4 separate regions of the Mus musculus genome follow, and regions 2, 3 and 4 are each reported to be linked to region 1. The links are microRNA targets in miRTarBase. Many come from high-throughput screens and were not tested one by one. Region 1 holds a microRNA gene; each other region holds the end of a gene's coding sequence.

Region 1 (4,152 bases):
AGAGCAACAAATGCTCTTAACCACTGAGCCATCTCTCTAGCTCCAACCTTGTTTTCTCAGAGAAGGTGTCTTACTGGGACATGGAGCTGGTGAGGCGGGCTGGTGGTGAGCCCTAGAGCATCTTGTGGCTTCCCTTCCCCAGCTCTGGAATTACAAGTGTGAATTGCCATACCTGGGGACAACACAAGCCCTTTTGCTTACATGGTGACCACTTTATTGATTGACCTATCACTGAAGACCCTGATGTTTTTTTTTTTTTTTTTAAGATTTATTTATTTATTATATGTAAGTACACTGTAGCTGTCTTCAGACACTCCAGAAGAGGGAGTCAGATCTCGTTACAGATGGTTTTGAGCCACCATGTGGTTGCTGGGATTTGAACTCCGGACCTTCGGAAGAGCAGTCGGGTGCTCTTACCAACTGAGCCATCTCACCAGCCCGACCCTGATGTTTTATAAAGAAGACGTGTGTGTGTGTGTGTGTGTGTGTGTGTGTGTGTGTGTGTGTGTGTTGTCTGGTCTTTGTGCATGACAGTGCAGTACACTCAGAGACCAGAAGAGGGAGTGAAATCCCCAGAAGCTGGAGTTACAGGTAGTTGTGACAGGTGCTGAGATCCAAACTCGGGCCCTCTGCAAGAGCAGTAGCCACTCTTAACCACTGAGTCAGCTCTTTATCTGAAACAAGGTCACTTGTGTCACTATGTAGCCCTGGATGGTCTGAAACTCCCTACACAGACCAAGCTGGCCTTGAACTCTTAGAGATAGTACTGTCCAAGGCCTGGTTCTTGCTTTCCTTTGCCTTTCAAGTGCTGGGACTAACAGTGTGCACCACCATTCTTAAGTTTATTTTTATTGTCTGTTTGTGAATGTTTGCTTACGCGTACGTCTGTGCACCATATGTATGCCTGGTACCCACAGGGGCCAGTGGGGAGCGTTGGAGCTCTTGGGAATGGAGCTATAGATAGCTGTGCTTGTCATGTAGGTTCTGGGAAAGAAACCTGTCATCTCTCCAACATTGAAATTCTTTAAACAATTTTTAAAAATTGTGTGTGTGTGTTCCCAAGTGCAGAGATCAGAGGACAACTTGCAAGGGTCCGTATGCTTTTCTTCTTCGTGGTTCTTGGGTTTGAGCTCAGGGCATTGGGCTCCATAGCAGCTCTGCTCACTTGCTGGATCAGCTTGCTGGCCCCTGAAAACTTTAACTGGCACGCAGGACACTACTCTACATTGGGTAGGCCCCAAATTTTGTGGCTTGCCCTGGTACTGGGTGCTAAATACCTTCTCTGTAAGTTTTCACTGGCCTTCCTAGTAGAAGGTTTGGGGTTTTGTTGTTTTATTTTTGTTTTTCTTCTATTTAAGACTAGGGTCTCAAACTGTAGCCCAGTTAGGCCTAAAACTCATCATGTAGCTTAAGCAGGCTTTTGACTCCATTCTTGGCAACCTTCCTGCCTCAGTTTCCTCAATGCTGAGATAAACGTGAGCCACCAACTGCAACTGTTGTAGTCTGCTTTACAGATGGGGAAACTGAGGCTTGGAAGGCCTAGGGGAAACTTTACTGAGGTGTTATTGTTGGGGTGCATCGGCCTGCTTCTCCTTGCTTGGGCCCTAGGTGGTGTGGGGTGGGGGTGGGGTTATGTCTGAGCTGGCTGGGGAGGAGAGGGCTGAGGTGGGAGGCCCTGGAGTTTCCTCCTGCCCTTCAGGCTTCTAGGAAGTGGCGCCAGCTGGGGTGAGGTCACTTCCTCCCTCCAACCGTCCACCTCCCTCAGCTTCCTCTCCATGGCCCCATTTGGCCTGCTTTGGGCTCAGGGCTGTGGGTGGGGATAGAAGCAGAGTGGGAAGCAGCTGGGAAGGCTCTGCAGCCCCTTTGGCCTTAGGGCTTCAGGCACCTCCCGCTTTGTAGGGCTGGGGTAGAGGCACTGCTGGGTGCCCAGCATCCAGCAGCCTCGCTCCAACCTTCCTACGGATCGATGCTCCTCTTTTTTGGGAATGCTTCTTCCCTCTTGGAAGTAGAGGAGGGCTAGGGTGTGGATCAGCAAGCTGAGTTTAGATTCTGTCCCCAGCACCACTTAAACTGTGTGTGGTGAGGTGTACCTATAATCCTAGACTCCAGAGGTAGAGGCAGGAAGAACTGGTGCATTCGGAAACCTTGTGTTCAGCTATGTGAGACCCAGCCTGGTCAAGATAGGCAGGCAAGCAAGAATGCTCCAATCTCACTGTCTCTTCTTTCTCTCTTTAGGTGCTACACTCCGCTCCCACCTGCTGCCCCCCTCACTGTGCCTCGGACGGCTGGGGTTCCTGGGGATGGGATTTGATGCCAGTCACAAATCACATTGCCAGGGATTTCCAACTGACCCTGTGCTCTGCCTTGGGGGCTCCTGTCGCCAAGGATGTCTGTCTTGGGTACTGGGTAACAGAGAAGCCTATCATGACAACTGGCCTGAGGAGCAGGGCTTAGCTGCTTGTGAGCAAGGTCCACAGCAAAGTCGTGTTCACAGTGGCTAAGTTCCGCCCCCTGGACCCCATCTCCTCAGGCCGCTGCTGCCCACCCTGCTCTGCCTCCTGGCTGGCAGGGCTCTGCCTCTCTCCGGGCTCCGCCTCCCGTGCCTACTGAGCTGAAACAGTTGATTCCAGTGCACTGGCTCAGTTCAGCAGGAACAGGAGTCCAGCCCCCTAGGAGCTGGCAACCCTGCAGAATGTCTGCCGTGAGCAAGACCTGGAAACAATGGGGTAATTAGTCCAACCTAAGCCCCGTTGTCTGCTGGAGGCTCAGCCTCTAAGCCTGCATCTGGGTGTCCACCTTGAGATTTCTGTGGTTCCCCAAAGCAGATAGATGGGCGGGTAACCCTTGCATTAAAAGCCAGTTATGTCCCCTCAGGGCCTGGAAGCCCTTCTTTTCCTAAGTCTGGTGGGGCTCAGGCACCACCCCTTATACATACCATCTTTGAAGTCAGTTACCCAAGAGGAAGCTGCTTTAGGCCCTCTAACGGTTAAATGCCAACTCTCTGCTTCCGGAAGAAGGCACTGACCTGATCCAGTGTGCCTAGCAATCCCATGGGGTCTGCAGCTTTCTGCTGGTGACAGCGAGGCAGGGAGCGAGGTCCACACAGGCCTCAGGATATGAACAGATCCATGCCCCCCCCCCCCATTGGCCTGTTGAAGTAATCTCCAGGCTTGGAAGTTAAAAAGTTGCCTACTACCCACAAATGAGACTGCATGCAGACTAATTGGAACTGGCTGAGTTACACTTCCCAGACCATACAGTGTCCTCTCCCTACTCTGGGCAGGGGCAAATCGAAGCCTGGGTGGAAGAACAGAGTTGAAAGCTTGTATTGAATGTTGTTCTCCAACTAAATAAAAGCTCCACAGCCTCATTCCGTAAGGGCTGACGTCTCTTCATTCCCGCCTCCCACATGTGTGTTGCTGGCTTTTTTCATTTCTCTTGAAACAGCATTTCTGTGTAGACCAGGCTGACCTTGAATCAAACTCCTCCAGTGTCTGGAGTTTGGGAATACCAGCTGCACCACTATATCTACCACACCCTGGGCTCCTAACCTGCATTGCACCTATCCCCAACCTTGCTCCACCTGCTTCTAGGAAGGTGTAAATATAGTTCTGTGGTCAGTAGGTGCTGCGACCTGAAGATCCTGGGATCCTTTGGGGATGGCTTGAACGGGAGGGATAACCCAGACCTGGGGTGTATGAGACCAATCTGTGGTCACCCCAGTTCCATGAGGGAGTATGTTACAAGAATGTACTCTGCCTATGCTGGGATGCACTGACTGGCAAGATGCCAGGGCTTAAGGACGGGCACATATGCGCGCACAGACAGACACGCGCGCATGCACACACACACACACACACACACACACAGGGCTTAAGGACGGGCACATATGCGAGCACAGACAGACACGCGCGCATGCACACACACACGCACGCGCGCGCGCCCGTCTACACACACACACACACACACACACACACACACACACACGCACGCACGCACGCACGCGCGCGCGCCCGTCTGCGCCAGAAGGGCTAAGGGGCGGATCGCCTCTGATCGGCTCCCTGGAGCAAAGGAACGCACCATGAACTATGGCCACACTCATAGTCACAGCCAGCTCCCATAGTGCCCCACAGAGGCAACACACACACACAC
Region 2 (4,000 bases), not on the chromosome of region 1:
GGTGTTTCCAACATGGTGGCGATCCACGCGGCCGTGTCGGGCCTCTCGGTGGAGGAGGTGGTGCGCAGTAGCGCAGGCTTGGACACTGCACGCTACAAGCTGCTAGTGGCCGATGCTGTGATTGAGAAATTTGCTCCAATCAGGAAGGAGATTGAGAAATTGAAAATGGATAAGGACCACTTAAGAAAGGTTTTACTTGTTGGATCTGCAAAAGCCAAAGAATTGGCCTCTCCTGTGTTCGAGGAGGTGAAGAAGTTGGTGGGGATTCTGTAGCAAGGTCAGCCAGTCACTGCACTCAAGTCAAGGCAGCTTTCCTCCCACAGATTTTAGCCTGTCCAAATTCAATTGAGTGTGATGATCAGCTGCATTTGATGACTGCTGTCAATTGAGCAACGTTCCAATCCCTGAGGCAGGCACAGCTCTTCCACTCCAGTTCAATGACACACAGTTTTTTGGTCTGAAGTATTCCCGAAAACGTGAACAATTACTGAGCCATGGCGTGTGCTTGCTTGTGCAGTATTTACTGTGCAGGTGCACTTTGTCTGTGTTGTGCAGACAGGTCCTATGCTGCAATCCTGAATCCAGTGGGTATTTGCAGTTCATAAAGAGAGGTTCATTCTTGCAGCTCATGTGATGATGATGTGATGATGTTTATCCTCATGTATTGGAATGACTTGACTTGTGCTAGCAAGGTGGCTCGGGCTCAAGGTACCTGCTGCCAAGCTGAATAGCTGGAGCTCAATCCACAGGGCCAGCATGGTGGAAGGAGAAACTGACTGGCAGGTTGTCCTCTGACCTCCGCTTGTCTGCCATGGTATGAGTACACACACACACACACATGCGCGCCTAAGTAAAAATACAATAACCTACTTGTTTCTTAAAAGGCACACACTGACTTACTTATTTCAGCAAATGTCTGTACTTAAGTGATCCAGGAGGTCATTGGAGAGCATTATATTGCTTCAGTTCCATCTATTTATTATACAGGGCCTGTGTTCCTGGTTGTATTCATAATAAGCACTTCTATTTTTACATTCATCTCAGTTTAGTCTCACCAAACCCTACCTCTGTGGAACACATAGGAACTGAGGGGTAGAACATGGAATTAGCTGTACAGTGTCACTAAGTAAATAAGAAGCAAGTCCAAGAGTGAAGGCCTAGCTCCCCTGCTTCCAAGACTGGTGCTTTTTAAGACTTCTCCCAAAGCTCTGAGGGCCAAAGTTTTGGACCTCTAAACATTCCAGTATTCAGTTTGGATACTGAAAAGATAAAGGCTGAAATACTGATTTTTGTTTATGTGAACTCAGCTAATGGTTGTGTATTTTAAATCTGGATCCAGCCACCTCTGGTCACACTTACCTTTCAAAACCCCAAAAATGGGTCCCATGGCCTCACTTCCAAATTCATGCTGGAGATGCCTGCTTGTCTCGGCCAGATTCCAGTGGGAGCGAAGTCTAAAGCATCTGACGTTTCCAGTGAAGGGAAGCTTCCCGTCTCAGCCTGCCTCAGGCTCTGTGAAATCACAGAGTATAGCTCTGCACGTCCATGTTCACAGCTGAAACGAATGGCAGTCCTGGCTTACATCCCAAGGCCTGTATCAAGATTGATTTTGCAGGGCCAGCAAGATGGCTCAGCAGAAAAGGGCTCCTTTTGTGAAGCAAGCCTGACTATGTGAGTTCAATCCCTGAGATCCATGTGATAAATAAAGGAGAGAACCAACTCCTCAACGTTGTACTGTGACTTACACACACACACACACACACACACACACACACACACACCACAATGAAATGCACAGGACTACCCACACACAAAAATAAATAAATGTTTACTTTTAATGTTAAGGTTGAGTTCACCTCGATTGTCACATAGAATTGGAAGTAGGAGACACTGTATCCCAGAGTCCAGATTAAAACACCAACTAGGTTCGGGAAAAGGGTACATTTTACTTTTGGGGGGGGTGCATGTTGTTTTCTTAATTCATTTATTTATTAGTGTATGTGTTTGAATGGGTGAGATCATGCTAAGGTGTGTCTGTCACGGTTGGAGGATGATTAGTGGGGTCCGGTTCTCTCCTTCCACCACGTAGGTTCTGGGACTCGAGCTCAGGTCATCAGGCACACTTTCCCGTTGGGCCAGTTAGTTTTATCTTTTGCACCTTAGTGGGAGATGTCTGCAGTCTGAGAGCATCACTGAGTGTATTTCTTTTAAAGATCTTTTTTACTTTCCTTTCGTTTTATCTGTTTGCATTTGTGTGTGTATGTGTGCGCGCGCGCACGTGCGCATGCATGCATGCCACAAAACATGTGTGATGTCAGAGGACAGTGCAAAAGCTGGCTTTCTTCCACCAGGTAGATTCCAGGGTTCAAACTCAGGCTGTCCGGCTTAGCAGCAGGCACCCCTGCCTACTGAGGCAGCCCACCAGTACCTTTTCACCTTCCTTTTAAAGAAATCTATTAGGAATACTGGGAATTGTATCTACCAGGCCAATTGCCTGTTTAGCTCTGTGGTCTCTACCTCCTAGCAATGCTTCTGTCTAGCAAGAACTAAAGGCAATAGGAAAAGATCTCCAAAAAAAAAGAAAAAGTGTAAAAGAGAGGGGGAGGGAACAAAAAACACAAAAACACTAGAACAGGATAACGTCTAAGGAACAGGGTCAGTGCATTCTGTTATGTAAGACTCTTACTGCAGAAAATCTAAATTTGCCATATAATTAAGATTCTTGCTCAATCAATGTATTAAAGTTCCCCAGGGAAACAAGCCCAATAGGACACATAGAAACAAAAGAGAGTGGGCTGAAGAGATGGCTCAGGGGTTAAGAGCATTAGCTGCTCTTCCAGTGGTCATGAGTTCAATTCCTAGCAACCACATGGTGGCTCACAACCATCTGTAATGGAATCTGATGCCCTCTTCTGGTGTGTCTGAAGAGAGCAACAGTATACTCACATACATAAAATAAATAAATAAATGGTAAGTTCTGAGAGACAGAGAGACAGAGAGGAGAGGAAGTTAGTTTACCAGGGGCTGGAGCATGGCTCAGTGACCAATGGCATGAAGTTTTTTTCCCAGCACTCATGTTGGGCAGCCCACAACTGCCTGCAAATGCCAGCACTAAGGGGTCAGATATCTCTGGCTTTAGCATGCACCTGTATTCACATAACTAAAAATTACACACTTAAAATAATAACAATTTGCCATATGGATTGGGTCACACTATTACAAGGACTGGGAGAAAACATAGCATGCTGTCTTTAACCTGGAGACTCAGGACAGCAGCGTAATCCAGACCAGACTTAAAGGCTAACTTGTCAGTGGTGCATAGTCAGTTCAAGGAATTCAGAGCCAAGAGACTGGACAGGGACTCCTGTGCAAGTCCCGGAGTCTGGGAACCATAAACTATGACATTCCAAGATGGGTCAGCTCAAGGAAAGAACAAACTGGCCTTTCCCACATTTTTGAGGCGGCCCCTTGATGGATTGGTTAGGACCTGCTAACATTGACAAGGATAAGTCTTCATTTACTGACTCAGTGTCCAATCTTTTCTAGAAATACCCTCAGACAACCCCCCTGAAAAAAAGTAAAATTAAAAAAGAAAAGGTTTCACTAGCTATCTGTTACACCCTGTCGCCTCAGAAGCTGAGAGCAAAGGCTGCATACAGCCTAGTGTGCCTCTTCACCCCTTCCCATTGTTGTTTACAGGCCCAGCAGGTTGTTTTTTTCTTGAGACAGGGGCTCTACATAACCCAGGCTGTACTGGTCTACTGTGTAGACCAGGTTAGCTTTGAACTGATAGAGCTCCTCTGCCTTCTGGATGCTGAGATTAATGGAGTGTACCACCATGCTGGCCCAAGAATAAATAAATGTGTGTGTGTGTGTGTGTGTGTGTGTGTGTGTGTGTGTAGAGTTAGAAATACAAACAACTGACAACTATGGTTGACTTCAAAAGGAAAATTTTATTGTTATTTCCTATTAGCTCTATAGAGAATGGAAATGTAAAAAT
Region 3 (4,000 bases), not on the chromosome of region 1:
TCTGCACCATAGGAATGATTGCGATTAGTAGGATGGCTGTGCTGTACCCTCAGGTTATTGTCGACCATCCATTTCTCTATCTTATCAGGAACAGGAAATCTGGTAAGTGTTTTATGTGAATACAACATTATTTCACAAGCCACAAAGAAGCTATTTTTAAATTATATATTATATTATATAAATATATATATCTAGGATGTATGTATGTCTATATATGTGTCTCTATATATGTATGTATATATGTATATATATATATATAGAGAGAGAATCCTATATAGACATATATAGAGACATATATATATTTAAGATTATTTCCAATGTTCTTATGTTTTTAAAAAATCAAAATAATGTGTATTTCTACTTTTCCAAACATTGCTTCCAGGAAATATAGGTCTCATGGTTTTCTTTCCTCTTCTGTTCATTTCCAAACCAATCCAGGCATAATCTTATTCATGGGACGAGTCATGAACCCTGAAACAATGAATACAAGTGGCCATGACTTTGAGGAACTTTAAATGACGACGTTTGAGTACAAAGAAAGCAGGAACAAAGCACATTATGTTTGCAAGTGGTATATATTTAGGATTTCTGTTTTATAGTGTTACTTAGGGAAATATTTAAATAGTTCTGGATAGTAGTAATCCATGTGACCTATAAGTTAGCCTGTCAAAAGCTGTTATCAGTATAAAGAGTATGGTCCCATTGTGTCATTGTGTCTGGTGTGCTGCTGTTTAAAATAAAAGTACATATTGAAACTGTGAACCACTTTTTTTCATTTTGAAAGTAGTTGTAGTCTATACAATACTATGTCTGAGATTTGAAACCTATGCTGTTTCTTTAGGAATTGTAGTAAAATGATCCTACAAGGCAAAATGTAGAAACTGTTGTTTCTGAGTTTCTTCATAATCATGCAGAATCAAACACCAAAGTAAGCAACATACATATATATATATAATAAGCAATACTGTGAAGGGGAGGCCAAAAGGCCAGAGAAATTGAGATTGTTATTTAGTGTGGCATTCCATGACAAAAGATTTAGGAGGAAATGTGGGATATGTAAGACCCATAGATGTATATTTTGTATATACTGTAGTATTATACTTTTAATTTATTAAAGTATAACTCTTTTATTTATTTTTAAAAGTTTCCTGTGAACCAATATGCCACATGACTCTACTAGCAAGTTCAGATATCTCATTAGCTATTCTGGATGACATCAAGAGGCCTCATGGAGGGAATCCCGTGTACCATTTACGTTTTAGTGATTTTTTGTGATGTTCACACAAAGATGAAATCACATTGTTGCACACTCTCTAGACTATATCCAAGAAAGGCATCAAGTGGTACATTGGTGTGCCAGGAAAATAGATGTAATTACTTTATTAAAAAAGTTCCTGGTATTGTGCATCATATGGAATCAGTGCTGCTTAAACTTAGTACGTCCTGCTGACACCTGGTCACTTATTACAAATATAGGTTCTTATCCAGGATGTCTAAGGTAGAGTGGGAACCACAGCTTTCTATCATTACTGACATCCAAATGATGCCGCAGATATCTGACCATAGCCTTTGCTGAGAGTCCCTTGGGTTGCAATGTCGTACTTGAAGTCAGCCTCACATTTTCACAGACTGAGATTGGAGAGATGAGGGTGCAGGGAGGAGATAATCTACACTAGTGATACGATGCCTTTGTCAAGCACTGGTGTGATCTCGAAGTATTTCTAGTACACACTCTAGATAAATTCTTCTGTACATTACAACACTTGAAATGCAGTCGTTAAAAATATGGAGACATTTATAGGCAATACCCATGAAAGAATTTATGACTATCCGAGGACACAGTACTTAACAATGAATCTTTTACAGCTTATATTTTCAGAGGACTTGTAGTTTATTCATAAATCTTCATGTTATTGTACAATAGTGCTCTTGTTTTCATTTATAATTTATGAAGCTGAGATGCCTGGTGTTAATTCAGTGTTCACATTCTCTGCTAAGAACAGTCTTTATCTCTGTATCCTTCTTGTTAATATGACATCTATAGCTATATCTATATGTTCATTAGTTAAACAAATGTATGGCCTGTAAGGAAGAATAAACATTATTATGCAATCATGTGATTATGTGATGTCCCAAATGTTAATTTTTATTAAAAATAGATATAAGATTTAATTCTTGGAACTTTTAATCTTAAAATATTTCAATATGTGTATAAGTTAGGTGTTACTTAGTTGAAAATGGATGTCTTGTACTGGCAGAAAAGCTAGAAAAAATAATTTACAATACCAAGCTTTTCTTTGTATTAATTTAGTATTTCTCTCTCTCTCTCTCTCTCTCTCTCTCTCTCTCTCTCTCTCTCTCTCTCTCTCTGTGTGTGTGTGTGTGTGTGTGTGTGTGTGTGTGTGTGTGTGTGTGTGTGTATACCAGAACACAGACATCCATATGCCACAGGATGTATGTGAAGGCAGAGGACAAATGCCAGAGATTGATTGCCTCTTTCCAACTTGGAATCCCAGAATCTCACTTGAATCATCAGGGTCGTACATCAAGGACTTGGACCCATGGGGCCATCTCCCTGACCTTCAAGTTTTTCTTTTGTTTGGACTTGGCTTTTAATTTCAATACTTTTCTTTCTCTTGAAAAACTAGCATTTCATATTTCCTAATTGTTTTATTCTCTTTACAATGAATCATTACTATAAGTACAAATACACATGTGCATACACACACAAGCACACACACACACATTGTGCATAGAAAGGACTTTTATTCTACGAACTTATGTTTGAGAGGAAATCAACAACCATTCTGAAGTTTTTGATAGTAACTGAATTTAGTTATTCATGTGTATGCAACAGACTGGAATGGATAATTATAGACTCTGATCTATTTTAATATCACCATCAAGTCCAAACAAATACTAAAAGTATTATTTATGTGTTTACTTAAATACTCAAGACATTCATTTTATAAGAACAATGAAAATCAGAAGAAAATACAGTAAAGAACATACTTCCTATTCATTAGATATGCATCTTATACAGAACACAATTCAGTGATTTTTTTATATATAGTCAGTTTCTTGAATTTATAATGATAGTCATTTTTTTCTTATCTGAAAATCTATCTTGGTTTTTCTCTAAAACAAGAATAATGGCAGCATTTTATTTAATAGCTTCAGGCAAGTTAAACCAGTTGAAACTTGTCTTTTTGAAGTAAAGATCTTTTCTGCAATCTTGAGCAAAGATAAAATACAATTCAAAAAAAAAAAAAAAGAAAAGAAAGAAAAGGAAAAATATTGGTGAAAACTCTGCAACTTTGCCTTAAGCTCAGAGCCTCATGGTCATGGTCCATCTTCTAAAGCAGACCCAATGCAAGATTCTTTAGTTAAATGATTAATCTGCAGAATTTGCTAAGGTAGAGGAAACATTCTACGTAAGTCCCAAGGCTGCCAGTAGCTTCAAGGAAAGCTAAATGGCCTCTTAATGTTCTCGAGCACGTTAAAAAGTTACATAAATAGAAGTAATATTATACTGACTGAGCAAGTTGTACTTGGAAATATATATGTATATACATATGTATGTATTTGCTCAATAAGAATTAATTGAAAAAAGAGGCTAAGAATTTGAGGGGAAAGAAATGTGGTAATTACATTATAATCTCAAAGAAATTCTTGAAATAAACTTAAAACAAATCTCCAGTTGACTAAAGCAACAATTAAAAAGAATTTCCAGGATTGAGTGACCATGGGTCCAAATAGTCCAACTCAGTTCTTCATCTATGAAAACTGATTGAATCATTAAGAGTGTATGACAGAGGGGAAACTAGGAAAGGGGATAACATTTGAAATGAAAATAAAGATATATATATATGTATATATATACATATATATATATATATATATATATATATATATATATATATATAGAGAGAGAGAGAGAGAGAGAGAGAGAGAGAGAGAGAGAGAGAGAAAGAGAGAGATTCTGATCCCAACAAGACCA
Region 4 (4,000 bases), not on the chromosome of region 1:
TTCACTGACTACTCCCAGGACTTTCCCAACTCCCTCCCGTTAGCCCCACACCTTCCTGTCCTTTATCAATGAACTGGATTCAGAAAATAACACACACACACACAAACTCTTCAAAAAGAACATAAAACTTTATTAGGATCTTACACTGTCATCAGATACAGCCAAAGAAAAGGGTTTATAAAAGATGGAGTATCCTTTTTCCATGTGCTCTTGACACGGCAGACTAGATGGCAACAGATGCTGTGTATACACAAATCCATTAAGTAACCCAGTGTTCCCTTCTGTACAGAGAAGAACTGAATTCACACCGTCAAAAGCTTTTTCTAGCACAACTGAGAAGCAGGGCTCATCTCTAGGAGGAACTCCTAATAGCTAGTACAATTAATAGCTAGTGTCGGGCTTTTGCATGACTTCAGAGTGGGGACTGAGGAAGGCCCTCCTACCTCCCAGTCACTGTCCTCTCCAGACTCCAGACCAGTTCATGAACCACACACCACAAAGCTACTCACAGCAGTGACAGCAGACAACATCCTCTGAACTGTGAAAATCATGAAGGGTGGATCATCGTAGTTTTTGTTAATGCTACGGGATTTCTTACAGAGAAACCCTGATTCAGAACGCTGTGAGCAGCTATCACAGCAGCTACAGGCAGGACGGCCTTCCTCGGGGAAGGCCGGCTACAGAGCTCAGCTCCTCTCCAGACTCCCCGCTCCCCTACGGCTCATTTACTTACTGTAGTATTGTAGGAGCAGAGGGAGCACCGGGAATCTGCTCAAATTGCCACTCCGACAGCTCTCTGCACTGTTTGTGGAAAAAAGAGGAATGGTGTCCATTCACAGCACAGGACCTTGCTACAATGTGACATACTTTCCCTTGAGGGCCAGACCAGGTTGCTCTCATACTTGTAATTTGCCTCCGGTACATGGGAGAGAAAATGTGCATGATTTACAGCTTGGTATTTTATACCCCTCACCTAGGCCCATTTCTTTTTTTCTTTTTCTTACTGCAGAGTCTCACTCATGTAACTAATGGCATTGATCTCACTCTACAGACCAGGCTGGCCTTCACAGAGATCCTCCTGCCTCTGCCTCCCAAGTACTGAAATTAAAGGCATGAACCACCACACCTGGTTTAAGCCCATTAAGTTTAGTCTTCCTTTCAGAAAGGAACATTAACGACTGTAAGGCTGAAAAACTTACTTCTAGAACAAACTGTACAGTCTGTTCAATTAGTGAGCTAACCAACAACTTGTGGTTTGGGGATTCGGGTTTTGAGTACTAGCATTTATCACAGATCTCATCACGCTCTTTAAAAAAATAATACATTTTATCATAAATATTTAGATCAGATAGTGGCATCAAAAGAGTATCTAAGTCTGTCTTCATGGTGAAAATATTTCAGGAAACTTCTAAAAGAGTTTATATCTTCCCAAGAGTATACCATTTATAAGTTAGTTTTAAATGGAAAAGTATCTAGTTTAGATGGATAAATCACTGTGTCAGCAAATCATAAATAAGTTTAAGATACTGAAAATAAGTTAACACACAAAGCTTTTGCTTTCCAAAACAACAAAAACTTACTTGGCATACTTTCAAAACAGGCATAATCAGGGTATGTAATGTGCATCTCCTTTGCTGACTCTTTCTTAGATCACTACCCCTAAGGAAAGGATAGCAGCACTGGCAGCCACCCCAGTGTGAAGGTCTGGCTGCTGCACACAAACCCTTATTTGACAGACAAACGCTGCTCAGGATGTGCGAGAGCCACTTGTCAGCTCATTACAAGCATATCCGAGGTCCAGTGGTTTGGGCTTCCAGTTGAGCTTCAGCGGTGTGCACAGAGAACAGCTATAGCTTCTGTGAGGAAATGTGTCCTAATTCCCAAAAGTTGTCATTGGAAGATAGAACATTCATGGGACGGGGTGATGCCATACATGTAACTCTGTTTTGGAGAAAGGCCAGTGTTTAAAGCACTGTTCCCAAATCTACTGGCTATTAAAGAAAATTACCTGTCATTTCTTCACATGGAAATTCATTTCAACTATATCCTCTAATACTGAGAAAGAAACAGTGAAGCCATTCAGAGTAGTGAGTATAACTGGCCTGTGAAATCTAAAAGGTGTCCTACAAACTATTCACTTGGACTCCGATTACATGAGAAATGCAAAGCAATAAAGGAGAAAAACATCTCCCTCTGCCATCATGAAACACAAACCTGCAGCTTCACAGTGGAACTTAAGAGAAAGCTGGAGAGCATGCACCTGCTCTAACACACCAGGTTCAAGTACAGATAAAGGTACATTTGCTGTGTATTTACACCTGTAAACAGACAAATATAAAACTCACCACATCTACCCTGTAGTACAGCATTGCTTAATTCCAAAATATAATCATTCAAAAACATTACAGAAATAAACTGTTTCGGGCTGCGTAATTGAGCACTATGGGTACTGAGTTGTTGAGCTGCTCAGGCTAAGAGCTACGTTTACATGACATGGGCAGGGATTAAGCACTGGGACTGTGTCGCTGCCTGGTGTTCCCTTTACACCCCACAGCTGGTGTTTTGTTAAAGGGATCTGATGTAAGAAGACTGACGACAGAAGCAGTCAGCTGGAGAGCTGGAGTTGTGCTCATTAGGACAGCAGAACTTACAACATTCGTAAAGCATTAACTGCACTTAGTCTAAATAGTGCGATCCAGGGAGTGTCTAGTTAACAGACCTTCGATCCTGGGATGGCATTTGAGATGGAACTACTATAGTACTACCGGGGAACCTTCTCTAGGCTTTATTTGACCCTGCACGGCATCCATGTCTAGTGTTAAACTCGAAAGGCATGAGGACACACAGAACCAGTATTTGGGTGGCAAGAGTAAGGTGAAGTTGAAACATTTAGTCTCTTCTATAATCAAGCTCTAACGATCCCATAAACAGTCTCACATCAGCTCCTGATCAGTTCTTCCCATTAGGAATTAGATAGTGTACAGTGATTAGATACTGAAAAAAAATAAAGAAAAGTAATTGAAAATACATGAAGAAATAGAAACATGGAATTTCTCACAAGGCCTTGGATCAAAAAAAAAACTTACAAAAGATTTTTTTGAAAATAATCATTAAGTTCATTAATACACAGAAATCATCACTTGGTTTTAACTAAGTCATGTTAACTCACTAATAAAATAGCAAAACAAACCAACATTTTAACATTTTATACTTCCTTGTCATTTCTTATGTTAGTACCATTCTCAACAATGTACAAAAATAACTCTACAGGACTATTCACCTAACCTGTCTCCATGTCTGCCAAAGTCCTGGCCCTGGAGGAGACTGGCCATCAGTCTTCACTGTAGATGTCCCCCGCAAAGGGCAGGTGCATGTGACTGCCAGTGACATTGGGCAAACGAGATAAATCTGGCAGGCTCTGGATCCGGGCTCTTAGTTCTTTGCGTACCAGGGAAACTCGGGCTAACTTGCGCTTGTATTCCTGCAACAACAAACCACTCGTTAGCTTTCATGTTGAAAAAGCAGTCTAGCTTTCTGCTGATTCTCTGCAGAATTTTGTATTATTCAGCCACTGGCAAATAAATGATCATTCCATTGTGAGTTTGAGTCAAATGGGCTACAGAGGTAGTAGAGAGCAGTAAAAGTACATAATAGCCATGCAATTAAATATCACGATGTGTGTCTTTTCTATTTTTGTTGTTGTGTTTTGTTTTTTTTGAGACAGGGTTTCTCTGTGTAGCCCTGGCTGTCCTGGAACTCACTCTGTAGACCAGGCTGGCCTCGAACTCAGAAAATCGCCTGCCTCTGCCTCCCAAGAGCTGGGATTAAAGGTGTGTACCACCACCACCCGGCTAGTGTGTATTTTCTTTTTTTTTTTTTTTTTTTCCATTTTTTATTAGGTATTTAGCTCATTTACATTTCCAATGCTATACCAAAAGTCCCCCATATCCACCCACCCCCACTCCCCTGCCCACCTACTCCCCCTTTTTGGCCCTGGTGT

What was found. Region 1 holds the annotated microRNA mmu-miR-27a-3p (UUCACAGUGGCUAAGUUCCGC, at 2,488-2,508, shown strand). A microRNA usually pairs through its seed, bases 2 to 8, with sites in the 3' UTR of a target mRNA and lowers its output. Matches are read on the target gene's strand: a 7mer-m8 pairs with bases 2 to 8, a 7mer-A1 pairs with bases 2 to 7 and ends in A, and an 8mer does both.
Region 2: miRTarBase lists Wars2 as a target of mmu-miR-27a-3p. Seed matches in the 3' UTR shown: 7mer-A1 at 1,513-1,519 and 7mer-m8 at 1,734-1,740.
Region 3: the mRNA of Serpini1 is a reported target of mmu-miR-27a-3p. Seed matches in the 3' UTR shown: 8mer at 755-762, 8mer at 964-971 and 7mer-A1 at 1,149-1,155.
Region 4: miRTarBase lists Rprd1a as a target of mmu-miR-27a-3p. Seed matches in the 3' UTR shown: 8mer at 2,222-2,229, 7mer-A1 at 1,064-1,070 and 7mer-A1 at 833-839.

What each region holds. Positions count from the first base shown.
Region 1 is chr8:84,206,240-84,210,391 of GRCm38, forward strand. It overlaps Mir27a (microRNA 27a), which reads left to right and starts at 2,433; the gene lies at 2,433-2,519. It overlaps Mir23a (microRNA 23a), which reads left to right and starts at 2,279; the gene lies at 2,279-2,353. It overlaps Mir24-2 (microRNA 24-2), which reads left to right and starts at 2,576; the gene lies at 2,576-2,682. Mir3074-2 (microRNA 3074-2) reads right to left here and starts at 2,668; the gene lies at 2,586-2,668.
Region 2 is chr3:99,216,635-99,220,634 of GRCm38, forward strand. Wars2 (tryptophanyl tRNA synthetase 2 (mitochondrial)) reads left to right here. Exons shown (of 6, transcript NM_027462.4): 6 at 1-3,569. The coding sequence ends at 273. Among named protein-coding and RNA genes, the nearest start is that of Gm38468, 18 kb to the right of the region's middle.
Region 3 is chr3:75,640,237-75,644,236 of GRCm38, forward strand. It overlaps Serpini1 (serine (or cysteine) peptidase inhibitor, clade I, member 1), which reads left to right. Exons shown (of 9, transcript NM_009250.3): 8 at 13-102; 9 at 439-2,287. The coding sequence ends at 515. Among named protein-coding and RNA genes, the nearest start is that of Platr10, 13 kb to the right of the region's middle.
Region 4 is chr18:24,484,851-24,488,850 of GRCm38, forward strand. Rprd1a (regulation of nuclear pre-mRNA domain containing 1A) reads right to left here. Exons shown (of 7, transcript NM_144861.2): 7 at 112-3,481. The coding sequence ends at 3,332. Among named protein-coding and RNA genes, the nearest start is that of 2700062C07Rik, 16 kb to the left of the region's middle.